Astyanax mexicanus: one gene and its partner. The protein of the gene in region 1 binds, or shares a complex with, the protein of each later gene. Links are inferred from orthologs where the notes say so. Each region holds a gene or a part of one and is shown on either strand. Other genes may lie near its edges.

Region 1 (8,368 bases):
ATTGGTAGAATTCTGAGGGCCCTGATATAGGTGAAAGGGAATAGATTGCAAAATAAATTCAGTGCACGCACATTATAGAGATATTTTCAGCAGCATCTGCAATTCATGCATTTCCACAGAATTAATTTAACAATTTGTTCCACTATCCTACCTTTATGTTTGTGCTCATCCGTCGATTTTGTGTATTTTCTAAATTCTCAGTGTCTCATTTTAAATATCAGGGCCCTCAGAATTCTACCAGTGAAGCATAGAGCTACTTTGGGCTTGTTAATGGTGTAAAAATAGCAATTTCTAGCAATCTCTTGCATTGTAAGCCCGATGAGAGCATTGGCTAAAAGCGATGTATTTCGGAATAGTTGAGATGAATGGAGGATCGCTATTTGACAAAAGTTGAAACTCTTTATCACGTTTCACTACACCCCAAGTCCATTTCATGCTGAATTACCTACAGTATTTAACTCTACTCGACTTGACATCTGTTTCATTTTCTACTATCACATCCCCCACTCCCACAAATGTAGCTGGTGATGACATCAACACCTTTACTACCCTTATCAGTGGTGAGATATGTGATGACACAATAACAATGAAAACTGTTGAAGAGATCCTGTTCCTGTTTTGTATCGTTTAAACTGACAATTCTCTCTGACCAATTAGCAATCTCTTCCTTTTTCACAAAGTCCAAATTTTACAGCAAAAAACTTCAAAAGTGCGTTTTAATGGTCCAAAACATTTTAAGTGCAAGCTTGTGCAATTATCTGTGCAAATATATGGTGGATCATCAATTGAAGCATCCAATTCTGTTTACGTTCACAAAGAACCACAAATATATAGCTTCCCTTGGTAGTAAGCACTTGTACGCACGATGTAAATTAAAGTGAGTAAATGCAGATAAAACTATAAAGTTGTGAGCCTGGTTTACAGAACACAGATGGCAAAATATGTGTTGAATTTGGTGTAAAGGTTCCATTACATAAAATCCACTTTTTCCATCCCAAAACAAAACAATACTGAAATGTCCTTTAGATCTTTAGTCTGTTCTAAAAAGTGTAGAGTTGAGCACCATAAGTCTTCCACACTGCTCTTTAGGATCCTGAGCATTTAGTTTGAGCCTTAATGTGTCCAGGCTGCAATTACATTCCAATTCCTGTATATCCTTGGAGGAGCTGTAAAAGCTAAGGTCAGATGCAGCCAGAGAAACCCTAACAAATGACTGCCATCTTCAGGTGTAAAGGAAACCAAGCACATCTACACATCCAGGTGAGGAGAGAGGAAAGCTCAGTTCTTGTTTTTTATATGTGAGGAGCATAAAATAAGACTTATAGAATATGTGTGAAGGAACGTAGGGGTGTAGGTTGATGAATATGCTTGTTATGCTTAATCAATCAATCCATATATTATTATTGGTATTTACAATACCAATATACAATATATTTGGAAAAGTGCTTGGACCCCTATAATAGCATCATGCTGCCTTTCCCAGCTGACTGAGCAGCCAGTGTGTTTACCGCACTATGGAAACTGCTGCATAATGTATTGCTGCTATAGGAATAACACAGCCTTGAATTTTGCATTAGCATTCAAATACGGGGCTTCTGATTGGATGCTGGTTCTGCTACTACTGTAAAGTGCTACTGTAGTCAGTCAACTACAGGCTGATCTATGATGTGAGCTCTACCTGTCTATAATGAGCATAATGAGCAGGGAGGCGGTGGGTGACGGTGTCACGAGCTGTGTGCACGTGGGATGGGTGGTGAAGAAGGGGGGTTGCTTTATTTTTGTACTATATAACACCTGATTGGAGGGGGCATATGAATATGATCGTATTTGGATTGTTTTGATGCTTTGAGGGGGGCTTCAAGACAAAATAGACAGACGTAGCGCACGAGCTACATTGCAACACTGCGTCCTTACGACCATTTATGTATGCATTTACACGCATTTACGATCCTGGCTGGATCTGTGGGATACGCACACTCTCTGGGATACGCCACAACACGCGCGTACGCACACTCACGCACACACACACACAAGACACGACCCTGAAACAAACACTCTCCCACGTACCTCAGTGTCGTAGATCTTGGTGATGAGAGAGAAGGCGTACTTGCGGGATTCGCGGATGTGGCGGATGGCGAGCTGCACCGCGGGCTCGATGCCCTGGCTGATGCTGCTCATCAGCGCAGACTCGTTCATGGGCATGAGCACCATGATGGGCACGTCCCTGGCCGACCACGCTGCGTCCACGCTGTGGCCGGTGTAGTCGTTGCACACCTTGGCCGTGGCCAGGGTCGCCAGGAGCAGGCAGCTGGAGGCGAGGAGCAGGGACGGAGCCATGCCGCTGCCACTGCCGCTGCCACTGCCGCTTCAGCCGCTACTGATGCTGCCGCTGCTGTCTAGGCTGATGATGATGCTGAGGCTGGTGCTGGTGCTGGTGCTGATGCTGCTGCCGCCGCCGTGCGCGCGCGCGCAGGGGAGGAGGATGGGGGTGAGCTTAAGGAGCCGCGCCGGACTCAGCGCGCGGGCATTGCGATGCTCTGAGAGGAGAAGCTGAGGGGTCTGGAGAGAGAGAGAGAGAGAGAGAGAGAGAGGGAGGAGGAGGAGGGAAGAGGAGAAGAGGAGGAAGAAGAGGAGGAGGAGGGTGGCACGGGGGTATAGGTGCTCGTAGGCGCGCTGGCGGTAGAGTCGGAAGAGTGATGATGATGAAGGTAGCTTTAATTCCACAGGAGAGGAGGATGAGGAGGAGAAGGAAGAAGAAGAAGAATATATATAGGGAAGGAGAGTTTCCCCCTACCCCCTCCGCGTGCCACTCCGGTGCCCGTGCAGCTCCGGTCCCGTGTGTGTGTATATATATAATGTTGTACTTTCCTCTGCTCGCACGCGACCCCCTTCCCCGTTTAATCCGTGCGAAGTTGCGAAGCGCGAGTCAATGTCGCTCCGTGAGCGAGAGAGCCACTGAGGCAAGGATGCAGCGGGTCCAGCGCGCAAGAGCGAAAGCACGAAAGCGCGAGCCCGGAATCCCCTCTCTCTCTCGCGCGCGCGCAGGTTAGCTCGCACCTCCAGAAAGGCGAATATTATACAAAGTCCGCGGGAAGCTCAGCGTACAGTCCTGACGCACAATTCCCCAAATGATGATGAAGAAGAGCTGAGGAGGAGGAAGATGATAAGGAGGAAGAGCGGCCTGCCTGCACGCGCTGCTTCTGCTGCTTCTGCTGCTGCGGAGAGCGCGCGCCTGAGTGGCTCAGAAAAAAACACGAGGGAGGGAGGGGGAGAGAGAGAGAGAGAGAGAGAGAGAGAGAGAGAGCAGAGTGTGCGCGCATAAAATAAAGAAGGAGAGAGAGAGAGAGAGAGACAGAGAGACAGAGAGAGAGGTAGAGAAGTAGGAAGAGAGCTTAGAAAAGAGAGAGAGCTCAGAAAAGAGAGAGAGAGCACACATAGAGGGAGAGAGAGAGCAGGCAGAGTGTGCGCATAAAATAGAGAAGGAGAGAGAGAGAGAGAGAGAGAGAGAGATGAAAACAGAGGGATGCAGAGTGAGCGCAAGAAGGATAGGTGGAGAGAGAGAGAGAGAGAGGTAGAGAAGTAGGAAGAGAGCTTAGGGATAGGTGAAGAGAGAGAGAGATCAGAAAGAGAGCGAGAGCTCAGAAAATAGAGAGAGAGAAGTGCACGCGCAAGATTGTTGATGTAACAGTCTCGTGCAAGCTACCTATCTAACGTCTCCTAGATGCTATGAAAGTCACATTTAAACAAAATGATGGATGCAAGCATTAGCGTGGTTTAGTTTGCAAGACTTGTGTTTTGATTTAAAGCAGATATTCACTGAGCGAGATTCACTGTCTCTTTCAGAGAATATTATGTAAGGAAAAGGTGTTCCTGAGCATCTGATATGCAGAGATTAGGTTGCAGGAAATTGCACATAAATCGTTCTGCAGTCCAGCACTACACTTCCATTCCAATAAACAGTGCCACCTAGCAATACAGCAATGCCAAATGATATTGATGGGCTGCACCTTTTGCTTTTACATTGTTCTGCATTAGGATCATGTAATTCAGCAGTGGGAGATTATCTCTTTTATCTCTTTTTGGAAGTTCAGAGTCAGGGTGCTGTCCGTGGTCCTGATCTGGCTGCACCAGATGTATATGTACTCAAACAGTATCTATTGACTGCTGGAATGAAGGAAGGATGATAAAAAGTAAATAAATTAAAATTATAGAAATTAACAACTAGTAGTGCAATTCTCCTTTAAATAAGCACTTTTATGTTTTCTGGGTACCTGGAGAAGTGCCCTATACAGCACTGCATCCTTTTTTCAGACAGGGCATCCCTTTTGGACACTGTCTGGTAGGGATGGCATAGAAGACACTCTGTAACTGCACCTTCTTCTATTGAAATGGTAAAAGTCCATCCATAGATGGACACTTATTAAGATGCATTATTAAATATTATTGCTCTATAGGGCACGTCATTATAAGTTATTGTAAGACAGCCATAGTAGGGACTTTATTACATCGCCATAAGAGAAGCAGCCACTAGGGCACTTTGTTAATGCCACTCTAGAGGGCACTTCAGTAACACTTTTTTTAACCATAAAAATAATGTAAAATTTTGACTGTGAATATGCAATGTGCAATAAGCAGTATTATATTGACAAATCAATTTTACATCAACGTCTCAATAAAGGCATCTCCCTTAACATGCATTCACATACCAGTAGAGAACAATGGTCCAATATAGATATTGGTCAATAGTTTGGACACCCCGGCACACCGGTCACCGCTCCAGTACTGTGTGTGTATGGAGGAGCTATTGGATAAACTAGATATTATTGGTCAAACATTTGGACTCCCCGCATGTCCAGAGCAACCTAGCATACATAAGCGCTCTCAAAAGTTTGGACACCCCGGCACGCCAGCCCATGCATCCAGACCAGTCTAGCGACCATAGCCATGCTCAAACTTTGGACACCCCCAACAGCTTAGCAATCACCTAGCAACACTTCAGCAACCAGCTAGCAACCGCTTAGCAAGACAATAGCAACCAGCAGATGCACCAAAGCAACCAGCCATGAATCAACACTGCAATTATACTCAAAGTTTCGGCAGGAACTACAATCTTGTCACATGAACAGTTCCTTTCACATACAGTATAGACAGATAAAAAAAACTGGGTTCTAGGGAACCACTCATATAACACAGTCCTTATCAGGTGGATCCATCGAGCACTGGAGTTTTCACACAGCAAATCTAGCCAGAACTCATTCTGCCCACTGCAGACTGTGAGCTGCTAATACAATGCAGTATTCATCAGATGTCTGCACGCTCGAGTGTCTCCCATTGTACCGTGGTTTTATACTAAGTCCATCTGAAATCTGACAAAAGCGAGATCCGTGACTCAGCACTGAAGCGTATTGTCTGTGTGAAATGATAAATGCTCATCCACTTGTCCAATAGAATTTGATCTAATAGACCAGAATGACCAGAAGCTGATGCACATGTGTGTTAATGTACTGTGGGAGTGTGCATTTGGTTTTGAATGGCATTTTTCTTTTTGCTAGAGGCTGTAAAATCATAACAATAACTCATTAACTGATTGCATGTCAGGCCTTAATAAGTCATCATACTTCCATTCATCCAGCCATCCATCCATCTTCCTGTCTGCTTCAGGGTTGGTCAGGGTCAAGATGGGCTCAGCAGTACCTAGGATCATCGACTGCAGGCATACACAGCTTCTACAGTGTACCACAATTACTCATTCACTCAGGTCTAGGGGCAAGTTAGAATAGGCAGTTGATCTACAGACACGGGGGGAATTTACCTAACTCCTTTCAGACAGTGAACAGAGCCAGGATTGAACCTACAACCCCAGATGCCCAGTGTCCGGAGCTGCTGCACTACTGCACCACCCGTCACTGTACTTTATTCATTTATTTTTCCAGTTGTTTGATTCTTTTTCTTTTTCCTAATATCAGGCATGGGCTAGAGGGAGGAAAGGGGCCTCAACACTGAGCGGTAAAGCAGTGGAACTGTGTACTCTTGAATGATGGTGCTCTGTCTAATACTTTTGGGATGAGTTGGACAGTTGGTGACAAGGTGGGTATAGGGGTTGGAGATCAATAAGCATGCTCTAGACAGTGAATGTATTCAAATTTCTCAGCAATGCTCCAAATTCTAATAGAAAGCCTTTCCTGGACAGTAGACAGCTGCTTAAAAAAAGATCTCAAAAGAAACCATAAATAAGTAGGGGCAGGGGCATCGCCTGGACTGGGCTTCCGGGGCTTTAGCCCCGAATAATTTTCCAGCAGCCCCGAATCGTTTCGCTCAGCTCAGCTGTATTATTACTGAAGAGACAGACCACTAGCCGTGCGAGAATGATAAAACTCTTCATTCTAATCACAGAGCCAGTTCATGGATAAAGTTTCACCTTTTAGGAGAAACAACCAATCAGCTTGCTGGTTTTGCGGAGCGTGGTGGGCTAGTAGGGAAGCCCCCCATAGACATCATAGAAGTTTCTGTCTGTGTATACGAACAATTCTTGCCATATGCCACTGGTCATGATTATTACTACTCACTGAACTGTTCACTGTAAGTCATATTATAAATATATATATATATATATATATATATATATATATATATATATATATATATATATATATATATATATATATATATATATATATGAGATATATATATGGTTAATATATATGATTTATATGATGTATAAATCTCTCAGTACAAAGAAGACACTGCGGATTAAATAATGTTAAAAGCTTGCACAACTGAAATGGAAATGGAATGTCGCATCCATCCAGCACCTCCTATCAGGCCTCACTTAAGCTCTAATACTTCCCATCACTTTGCCATGATAATGCTGGCCAGTGTTGAATCTTGTTCACAAGATAACACCTCACAACTTATGCAGGCGTGGGCTTTTTCCAAGCCACCTCCTGAGGTAACACATCATTATGCTTTCTCAGTACTTCAGGTATGTCAGTGTATACAGTATGTATTATATGGATTCCCTTATATATTTGTAACAGGCTAAATATGAAAACAATCTTTGAGCAATCTTTCTGCCAATAATACACATGTAGACACGCCCACACCAGCAAACAGACAAACAGATACACACTTACACACACACACCTACAGGCTTGTCTGACATGTCTGTGCTTAATAGAGATTAATAGGACAGCCCAAGGATATCCTTCAGTGCACCTCTGACAATGCATTCCTGCTGGATGCAGTCAGAATTTTGATCATCAAATATTCAAAACAGCACGAATGAAAAATTAAACCTTAAAAAATCCCCATCCATTTTTTTTCAGTGTCTCCCCAGCTAGCCATTTATTAAAAGAAACGTGCCATGAACATGGAGACGTGTCGCCTGTGAATGATAATCCCATTTGATCCTGGGGAAATATATATCCGTTCAGGCGTGAGATTTACAGCATGTCATTTTTAAAACAGGAAGCGGCTTCTTAAAGGTTCTAGGGTACTACGCAGATTCAAACACTCAAACAAGCCTTCCAGCATCTTCAGGAACAGATCCTTAACATTCTCTGCTGTCTGAACAAACCATTCACCAACAATGCAAGCAGTAATATTTAAAGTGTCCCAGACGACACACACTCACACAATAAGAGTTATGCCAGGGACACTCTGATGAATTGCCTCAGATCTATAAATGCAAGGTCACAGGTTCAATTCCCGTGAGGATACATAAAGGAAATAAGATTAAAAGACAGAGAGCTGCAGGTTTTAATATCCCTTGCTGTCCAACATTTACAACACCCTACAATAAGACAGGGCCCAGAGTTGTAATGAAAAGATTATATGACATATTAAACCGATTCCTAATGTTTCCAGGGAGAGCTTCAATAAAGAGGTTTTACCTGACAGCAGATAGATTTGTCCTTTAGTAGATCTTTATACAGACCAGTGGGGACATTTCATCTTTTTAAAGATCAGATCTAGAGGAGCTTTGGGTTTAAAAGACATTTTTCTCATAAGCAGAAGCTCCACAATCAATTTTAAAACAGTCTAAATCTGAATATTACATTACATTACATTTGGTAGACACTTTTTTCCAAAATGTAATGAATAATGAAGTACGTTTAGCAATAAAAGACATAGCAGTTCAAGGTAAAAAAAAAAAAAAGGGGGAGGCCAATAAGGGAAATAGTGGGATGGAGGAGGAAAGGAGGGGAAGAAGGAAATTAGGGTTAGAAGTAGTTAGTTTGTTAGAGGTGTTAAGAGAGTAAGTGCTCTTTGAAGAGCTCTGTCTTCAGGAGTTTCTTGAAGATAGTGAGGGATGCTCCTGATCTGGTAGTAGAGGGTAGATTGTTCCACCATTGGGAAACTATTCTAT
Region 2 (7,968 bases), on another chromosome or scaffold:
GTACAACACAGTCTAGGGTTAAGGAGTAAATATTTTATTACTCTATCCTGGTTCTGTTTTTATTTTTATTTTTTTTTTGGAAGGTGGGCGTGTGTTTGGTGGAGGGTTTAACCTAATATCTGGTGCTTGCTACATATTTTTGCATGTGCATACTGTGAGACTTTATTTTGATCTTGTCAAAAATTAAGAAAATGATGTTTAACACATGCTATAATCTGTGCCCCAGCCAATTAGGAGGTGGACTACCATTTACCACCACCACTATCTCTTCCAGATGCACAATTCCAGAACTATTTGCATTTTATTTCAGATGCAAGTAGCTCTTCCCTATGTATTTTGCATTACTGTGGGAAATCAGCGTTCATTGTAACCACACTCTGAAACCAAATCATTCAAAGTGAAAATAAACTTTGATATGTTTATCTACATGTATCTACATTTCATACTGCATATTTAAAAACTACCTATGCATTTTGGCCACACCCTAAAATCTTTTTTTTTTTTTTTGTAGCAAAAAACTCCTTATTTTCTCCTTGAAAACTGTTCTCCAGTTCTCCAAGAACTGGTAATCAATGCAATCTGTAGCACTACAAGTATCAGCACTATCTTTCAAGACTAATAGCTTACTGGTACAAGTACACCAAGGTAGTTGTACTCTCCTAAAAACTCCTAAAATATGTATAGAATCATTTTTCATGGTTCCCCCTTTATTTTTTGGAAGGGGGGGGGGTGGTGTATGTTAAGGGTAGGGGTACAATCTGGTGGTTGATACTTTTTTTGCATGTGCCTACTGTAAGACTTAATTTTTATTTTTTATCTTTTTTGTCCAAATAATATAGAAAAGAAAAAAAATCATCCACCCACAAGCCACGAGACTCTGGCTACAAACTAAGCAAGCGCGCCCTCTACTGGCGACTGGGGGATCTACTGGCGTCAGTGTGTGTGGTTTTATTAGTACTGTGTAAAGCAGCTCGTGCAGAAGTGAAATTTTAAGGTGCAGCATTTAAATCATCATCAGCTCGAGCGCGCGCTCGTTAGGACTTACGGTAAAAGACGTACTCCGTGTAACTCGACCACACTTTGTCGTCCGTGTGCTGATTAACGAAGGAGGCGGTGACGGAGGAGTTGCACGCCACCATCTGGAAGCCGCACTCGGAGAGCATGTCGAAGGAGCGCTCCAGGTGCTTGAACTTCAGGTAGAAGCGGGACGTGTAGCGCTCAGGGGTCCGGTCCGGGTCCCTGCTCTCGTTCAGGGTCTCCCCGAAGACCTCCTTGGCCAGGGCGATCCTGCCGCAGATCATGATCCGCGGAACGCGCCTGAAGCGCGCGTCCGTCTGGCTCTCCCGTCCAGCCGTACACGATCCCCGGTAGCCGACCGTGATGAAGCCGCTCCGCCGGTCCGCTGGTACTAACGAGGGCGGCGGGCAAGCGCGCTGATCGCTGCCCTGAGAGCCGTCCTCGTAGTCGCTGTGCAAGTACTCCTCTGGGCTGGGCTTGGGCTCCTCGGGCGTCAGCAGTTTGACCAGGTCGGGAAGCTGGAAGTATTCGGCCTCCTTCCTCAGGCGGCCCTTCTCGGGAAAGTGGTCGGGCAGAACCACCTGACGGTCCCTGAGGTAGTCCAGAACATAGCGGAACAAAAAACCGTCCCGGTCAATGAAGTAGCGGCCCTTGGGGTCCCGGGCGAGGTCGTTGGACGCGTTACTTTTGGTGGAGAACAGCTTGCCCAGGAAGGAAGCTGGGTGGCTGGTCAGGGTGGAGTGGCGGGTGTAGTACACCTGCCCCCCGACGTTGAGCTCAATCACGTCTGGGAAGCTGTTCTGGACGGACCCCTGGTCTTTATTGGCCGTGGGCTGAGTCCTGCAGTTCCCACTCAGAGCCATGGTTTCGGTCATGGGGAGAGGCAGATCTGATGCGATGTGATGTGATGAGATGAGGATGATGAAGATGATGCTTGCAGGCTGGCAGATCCACCTATATGTATCTGTTGTTGGTGGAGCCGAAAAAAACAACAACCCAAAAAACAAAAAAGTTTCTCCCAAGCCAAAAAAAAAACAAAAATGGTAGAAATATAAATAAATAAAATAAAATAAACTAGGGTCACTGGGGTGGTGCCCCTTTTGCCACCTCTCGAAGCTGAAGGATCATTCTGTACCTCTGAGGAAGGTACATCTGCACAAAAACAGTGTACAGAACCCGTACAGTACCGCTCTTTCGCGCAGTATAGTATCCCGTGCAAGCGCGAGTCTTCTCCGGCTTCTCCAAATCGATTTGATTGCGATTAATCAAACAGACAAACAAAATAAAAGCAGAAAGCATTCACAGACCTGAACGCCCTGGAGTGATGAGTTTGGGTGGAATGCGCCATGCAGTCCAAACCTCCAAAATAGGATCCCTTATGGAAAGCGGTTAAAAAATTAAATAAACATAACGCTGATAAATATATCCGTGCGTAAAACTGGTAAAACTGTAGGCTAGCCCACCTCCAGTTGGGAGGGAGGGGGCTTCTCTTCTTCTTATGTAAAGCGGAGCTTCAGTGGATTGATAGATAGAGGGATGAACTGATGGATGGTCTCAAATAGAAATAACACACTCCTTCTCATATAGAAGCCGGTCAAAATATGTATAGTCTATTCCTCTTCCAAAAGAAAAAAAGCAGCAGTGCTTCTGTAAGTCCACCGACTTCCAACTTCAACTGAAGTTGAACCCGTTAACGCGCATCCAACTTCTGAGCACGGAAAACGGAAAGAAAGCCGGCGCGTGGATGCGGTTTGAAGGTATAAAAAATATGATAGTCCCGGTTGTAACTTCAAAGAGAGAAACAGCGCGCGCGCACTTCTTTCTTCTTTATCAGGGACCGTCCGTGTGGTCCAGCACCGCGCGCGGATTCTGCGAACCGTATCAGTCCTAGATTTTAATCCCGGTTGTCCTGGATTGCATCCCGGTTTTTGTTGTTGTTGTTTTTTTTTTTACCTCTTTGCCTCTGAAAAAAGAGGAGTATGCTGATTTTGGTCCGGTGGATGCGCGCGCCCGGTGGAGGAAAAGGAGGAAGAAGAGGAAGGGGAGGAGGAAGAGGAGGAGAAGAGCAGGGGAGCAGCTCGAGACTGCGCACCGACTCTCTTCCCGATCAGGGTGGTGCCTGAAAAAAAAAAAAAAAAGAAAAGGCTCAGCTGATGTTTCCTCAGCGGTTTGTGGAGGATGGGGGGGGGGGAGGGGGGTGGGGGGGGGAGGGGGTGTGGGGGGGGGTAGAAAAAGCATAATGGCTTATAAAGAATTACATCATCTTAAAGCAGTACGCGTGTGAACGATCAGCGACTATAGTTCTCCGCTATTAACTGTGGTTGATTAGAGTAGAATATAAAACAGAATGAATTGTATTATTCAAATAGTGATTTCTACATGTTTTTCACAGTTAAATTATCAGTGCTGTGCTAATAAATCTGATTATTAACTTGATCATCATTAGAAGTTTGGAAACATTGCTTTTTGTTTCGTTGAGCAGCTGTCATTGCTAAAAGCTAGACATTATATAAATATAAAATACATATAATTTTGTTATTGGCAGTTTGGAAGAAATGTTGTCAGTAGTTAAAATAAGCTTAAATAAGATTAAAGCCAACATTGTGGAGAGGTTTTTAGTTTTTTTGTATATTGTCATGCCCCTGTGTAATGTCAAATTAGGTATGTGTTGCTTCAGTCGGGAAGTATAATTCAGTGTAATTTACACTATAGAAGTTTATAGGTTTTTTTTCATGAGGGCGGGTGGGGGGAGGGGAGGTTGAAGTAAACTCAGAACCAATCAGAATCTCTGTTTCGGATGGGGGTGGAGCAACAGAAGACACATATGTCAGAGAGTCATAAGCAGTATATTGCCTTTGGAAAAGGTGGAACTTCTCCCAAATTAAGAGTTCTGGTTTAGAGAAAGAATTGCATCAGTTCCTTCCTCCAGCAAATCATTTTTACTACAAGTCAAACCACAAGCTTTTTACACTGATTTCTGTAATAATTGTAGAATAAAAATAAACAAGATTTTCTAAAATGTTACATTTCACCAAAGTACTCTTGAAACACTCTTGGAACACAATGGATTTTTTTATTTTTTAATAGCATCTAATGAAAAAAATCCTATCTTGATGTTGCAATGCTATAGCATCCAAGCTAAACATTTTTAAGGTGAGAAATAATTCAAACATGTCTCCAAACTATCTGATTAATATATGATTTCTCTTACCCCTAACCCCAACAGTGTTGTAACAATTCTGGAAACACCTACACATATCCAGCTACTTTAAAATATAAAATGCAGTTTTCTCTCACTTTATTATTTTTTTATTTGTGTATCTACACAAAGACGAAAGTGCTTGCATTAGTACACTAGTACTGTGTTATAGTATCTCATTAAGAGAGACATCAAAACCCCACAAAGAAGGAAGAAAACTTAAGAGTTTAAGAGGTTTAATCCCAAATGACGCACTACTGCCTAAGTAGTTTACAATGCGAATCAGGAAAATATAGTTTCTAAATCTGGATAAAGCATGATATATTGGTAATAGTACAGTTTTTGCTCGACCAAATATGACAATGAAGTTAACTGTATAGGGAGTAAAAAGGTAGTTGAGATTCAGGCAGAAATTGCATTGTGACGTCTGTGTTTTTTAAAAGCCCTGTTTTCCCTGTTTACATAATACACAAAATGCAGAAAACATAGATTTCAAGCATCTCTACCTTATTGGATGTTTCTGAACAGCTCCATGTTTAACAAAAAAAATAATTTGGCCTGGGATATGTTGGTATTATATTGGTATGGTATAAGCAGATAATAAGATGAATGGATGCTGTGTTAATTAATGTACTCTCAACAACACCTCTATACACAAGACCTAAGATACAATCCAAAAAGTCTTCCAAAAGTATTGGAACAGTGAGGCAGATCCCTTTATTTCTGCTGTAGACTGAAAACATTTGGGTTTGATGTTAAAAGATAAATAATGGAAATAAAAGCTGAAATGTCAATGTCAATTTTCAATGTCAAATTCAAATGTTTTCAGTCTACAGCTAAAATAATGGGATTGACCTCACTGTTTCAATACTATTGGAGGGCACTGTTTGTATGTTAACTTCAGTATCCTTTCATAGCGTAGAATAGTCAATGTTGGCTGCTCAACTATCAAGTATGTAACCAAATATTCCAATGCTTATTAGTTTAGCTTATTAGTTAGTCCAGCGGTCTAAAGCGCTGTCACTACGAGTGGGAGGTCGCAGGTTCGAACCCCCGCTCATGCAGCTTTGCAATCAGCTGCCGGTGCTAAGAGGAAGCAAAATTGGCCCTGCTCCCTCCGGGTGGGTAGATGGCGCTCTCTCCCCACATCACTAAAAGGATGATGTTGATCAGCACAGGGCATATGTGAGCTGATGTATCTGAAACTAGTCACTGCACTTTCCTCTGAGCACGCTGTGGTGCTTCTTGGTAAGGCATGTGTTAGTCTTCACCCTCCTGGTGTGTTGGGGCATTAATAGTGATAGGGGAGTCCTAATAAGTGGGTTGGGTAATTGGCTGAGCAAAATTGGGGAGAAAATGGGGAAAAAAATTAAATAAAAAAAAAATTCTCTAATACCCTAATTTTGCTGTAACACTAGAGCTGCAACGATAAGTTGACAAAATACATTTTTCGATCATAAGAATTTGTTGACTCAGAAAGTCTACTAATTATTCTATTGTAATTGTAATAAAGTAAAAGACTTAAATGGCTTCTGACCATTTAAGGGCATTTAAATTTCACATTTATCTGTTTGTCATTTTAAAACTACAAAGTAAGTAGAGAGAGTGGATTCCCAGGCAGCCTCTATCTCTCTTTCTTTGCTCACACAGTGGAGGGCATGTCAGAAATAATTGTTTAATTGACTAATCGATTAATTGAAAGAAAAAAAAAACTCTCAAAATAATCAATAGTTTCAGCCCTACCTAAGACTAAGACTAATTTTCTTATGAAATTGTATTATATTTGTATATTTGTACTCTTGCATTAGGAACCACTGGCCCACTCCTTCGACTTGCTATATGATTTCACAGACTTTGATCAGTTGCTCAGGGGGTCCGTTGGGGTTTAAACAGTTTCCAGCGTCTGATAGGTTTTTCCTCTGGAGCTGGATGTCATCACAGTCATGGTGAATTTTGTAAAGTCGTCTTGCCCTGCCCTGCAGCCACAGTTTAATGAACTAATGCCCACCTGAAATGGAAAAGCGTTTTCAGCACCCTGGACAGCGATCAGTCCACACCCACCAGCCTTTCTCCAAAAAAACCTTTATAGAGCTAATATAATCAGCACAGTCTAAAGCACAAACAATACCACTCTGTGTTATCTTTCCCTGTGCTCTGCACTTCCACAAACTACCATGTTCCTGAGAGAGGGAGTGAGTTGGGCATGGAGTTAGCAGGAATCTCTGTGCATTCATTTGTAAGTAGGCCAGAGCTGTAATCATGAATACATGCATGCTTCTACCTCTCAAGAGCTGCTCTTTTCTGCTGCTGTGGAGTGCAGCAGTTGCCTGGCTGTCTTTAAATAGCTCAAAGTGGATGTTCGCTGCTGGTGGCTTTGCTTTCGTTCACTTCTGCTTTTAATGGCCAACAAATAACGTTATGTTCGCCCTGTCATTGGAATCAGTCATTTTTTTTCTGTATTGTTTTTAAATTAAGAAATTATTTTAATATTTTCCTAAAGCTTTGGAACATTAGCTAACCAGTTTATCGAAACATGTGCAACAAAAGTACTACGCAATAGTAATATGCAATAGGTCCTACCTGCTTGTCAATTAATGTCTAACCCGACCTTCCCATTATTCATAAAATGCTTCTTTACATGAAGTTTTCTGCAGTTCAGCACCTGAAAGCCAGGAGTGCACATGCTCTTGGTGATATTTATTGGGCTACACCTACAGAAGTTGTTTGTGATGTATGTGGATCGCAACATCTCTGTATTGTAGAGGTTCCTCATAGAGTTGTAAAGAACATTTAATCGCCTCCCTTTTCATTTTCTATGGGGGATAGGTCTGGTGAAGTATGGAGCTAAATTAGGGTCAAAAGTTTTGCCTGTTGTTTTCAGGTTTCAGACTTTTTTTTTGGCCCTGATCTTGCGTGGGGGCGTGGTATCATAGGAAAGGGGCGTGGCATATGGTTGAGGACCTACTCCGGAGGACCCTGTCAATGTGCCTGCGTAAAATATATATCTGTACATTGAGAACATACAGATAGTATATAGCAGGGGTGTCCAAACTTTTTTTGTTGGGGGCCAGAAGGAGAAATATATTTGGTCACGGGCCACAGACTCTATAATAAAACAAATAATTAAATATACTACTTTAAATAATACATTTTACTGATTACTTTCATTTACACACCATTTTACTTGACTTACTATCTTTCACAATGTTGTGTAAACCAAGATTTTTCAAATTGATGTTTCATTTTATGATGTCTCTTAATATTAAACTCCTTAATTACGGCAACTTTAAGACTCTTTGGCCCGTTTTTCTGCTCTAAAACTGCGCACTCTCTCCGCTTTTAGACTCTTTTGTCCCGTTTTTCTGCGCTAAAACTGCGCACTCTCTCCGCTTTTAGACTCTTTGGCCCGATTTTCTGCTCTAAAACTGCGCACTCTCTCCGCTTTTAGACTCTTTTGTCCCGTTTTTCTGCGTTAGAAATGCGCACTCTCTCCGCTTTTAGACTCTTTGGCCCGTTTTTCTGCGTTAGAAATGCGCACTCTCTCCGCTTTTAGACTCTTTGGCCCGTTTCTGACACCTAGCGTTCAAACTTTGAATCTCACATTATAAAAATCTGTTTAACAGAGGGCCAACTTTCATTCTATTTCTAAAATACCTCGTGGGCCGCTTCAAAAAAGGAAATGGGCCGCAAATGGCACGCGGGCCGTAGTTTGGACACCCCTGGTATATAGTAATAGTAATAGTGATAATAAT

What was found.
Region 2: the proteins of gabbr2 (region 1) and kctd16b are in contact, whole or in part, in a crystal structure (PDB 6M8R), measured with the Homo sapiens proteins. The link is inferred for Astyanax mexicanus from reciprocal best matches to the Homo sapiens genes GABBR2 and KCTD16. Residues at the interface, in NP_005449.5 of Homo sapiens: Ile882, Asn883, Ile888, Gln889, Arg891, Leu892, Ser893, Leu894, Gln895, Leu896, Pro897, Ile898, Leu899; in NP_001357415.1 of Homo sapiens: Asn30, Gly32, Gly33, Gln34, Val35, Tyr36, Asp64, Leu65, Ala66, Lys67, Asp68, Ser69, Arg72, Phe74, Gly79, Phe80, Arg83.

The regions. Positions count from the first base shown.
Region 1 is NC_064410.1:47,769,980-47,778,347, forward strand, and holds the start of gabbr2 (gamma-aminobutyric acid type B receptor subunit 2), read right to left. Parts: upstream 3,262-8,368; 5' UTR 2,338-3,261; coding exon 2,068-2,337; intron 1-2,067. UniProt on the Homo sapiens protein: Component of a heterodimeric G-protein coupled receptor for GABA, formed by GABBR1 and GABBR2. Within the heterodimeric GABA receptor, only GABBR1 seems to bind agonists, while GABBR2 mediates coupling to G proteins.
Region 2 is NC_064424.1:21,114,159-21,122,126, reverse strand, and holds the start of kctd16b (BTB/POZ domain-containing protein KCTD16b), read right to left. Parts: upstream 3,076-7,968; 5' UTR 1,893-3,075; coding exon 1,046-1,892; intron 1-1,045. UniProt on the Homo sapiens protein: Auxiliary subunit of GABA-B receptors that determine the pharmacology and kinetics of the receptor response. Increases agonist potency and markedly alter the G-protein signaling of the receptors by accelerating onset and promoting desensitization.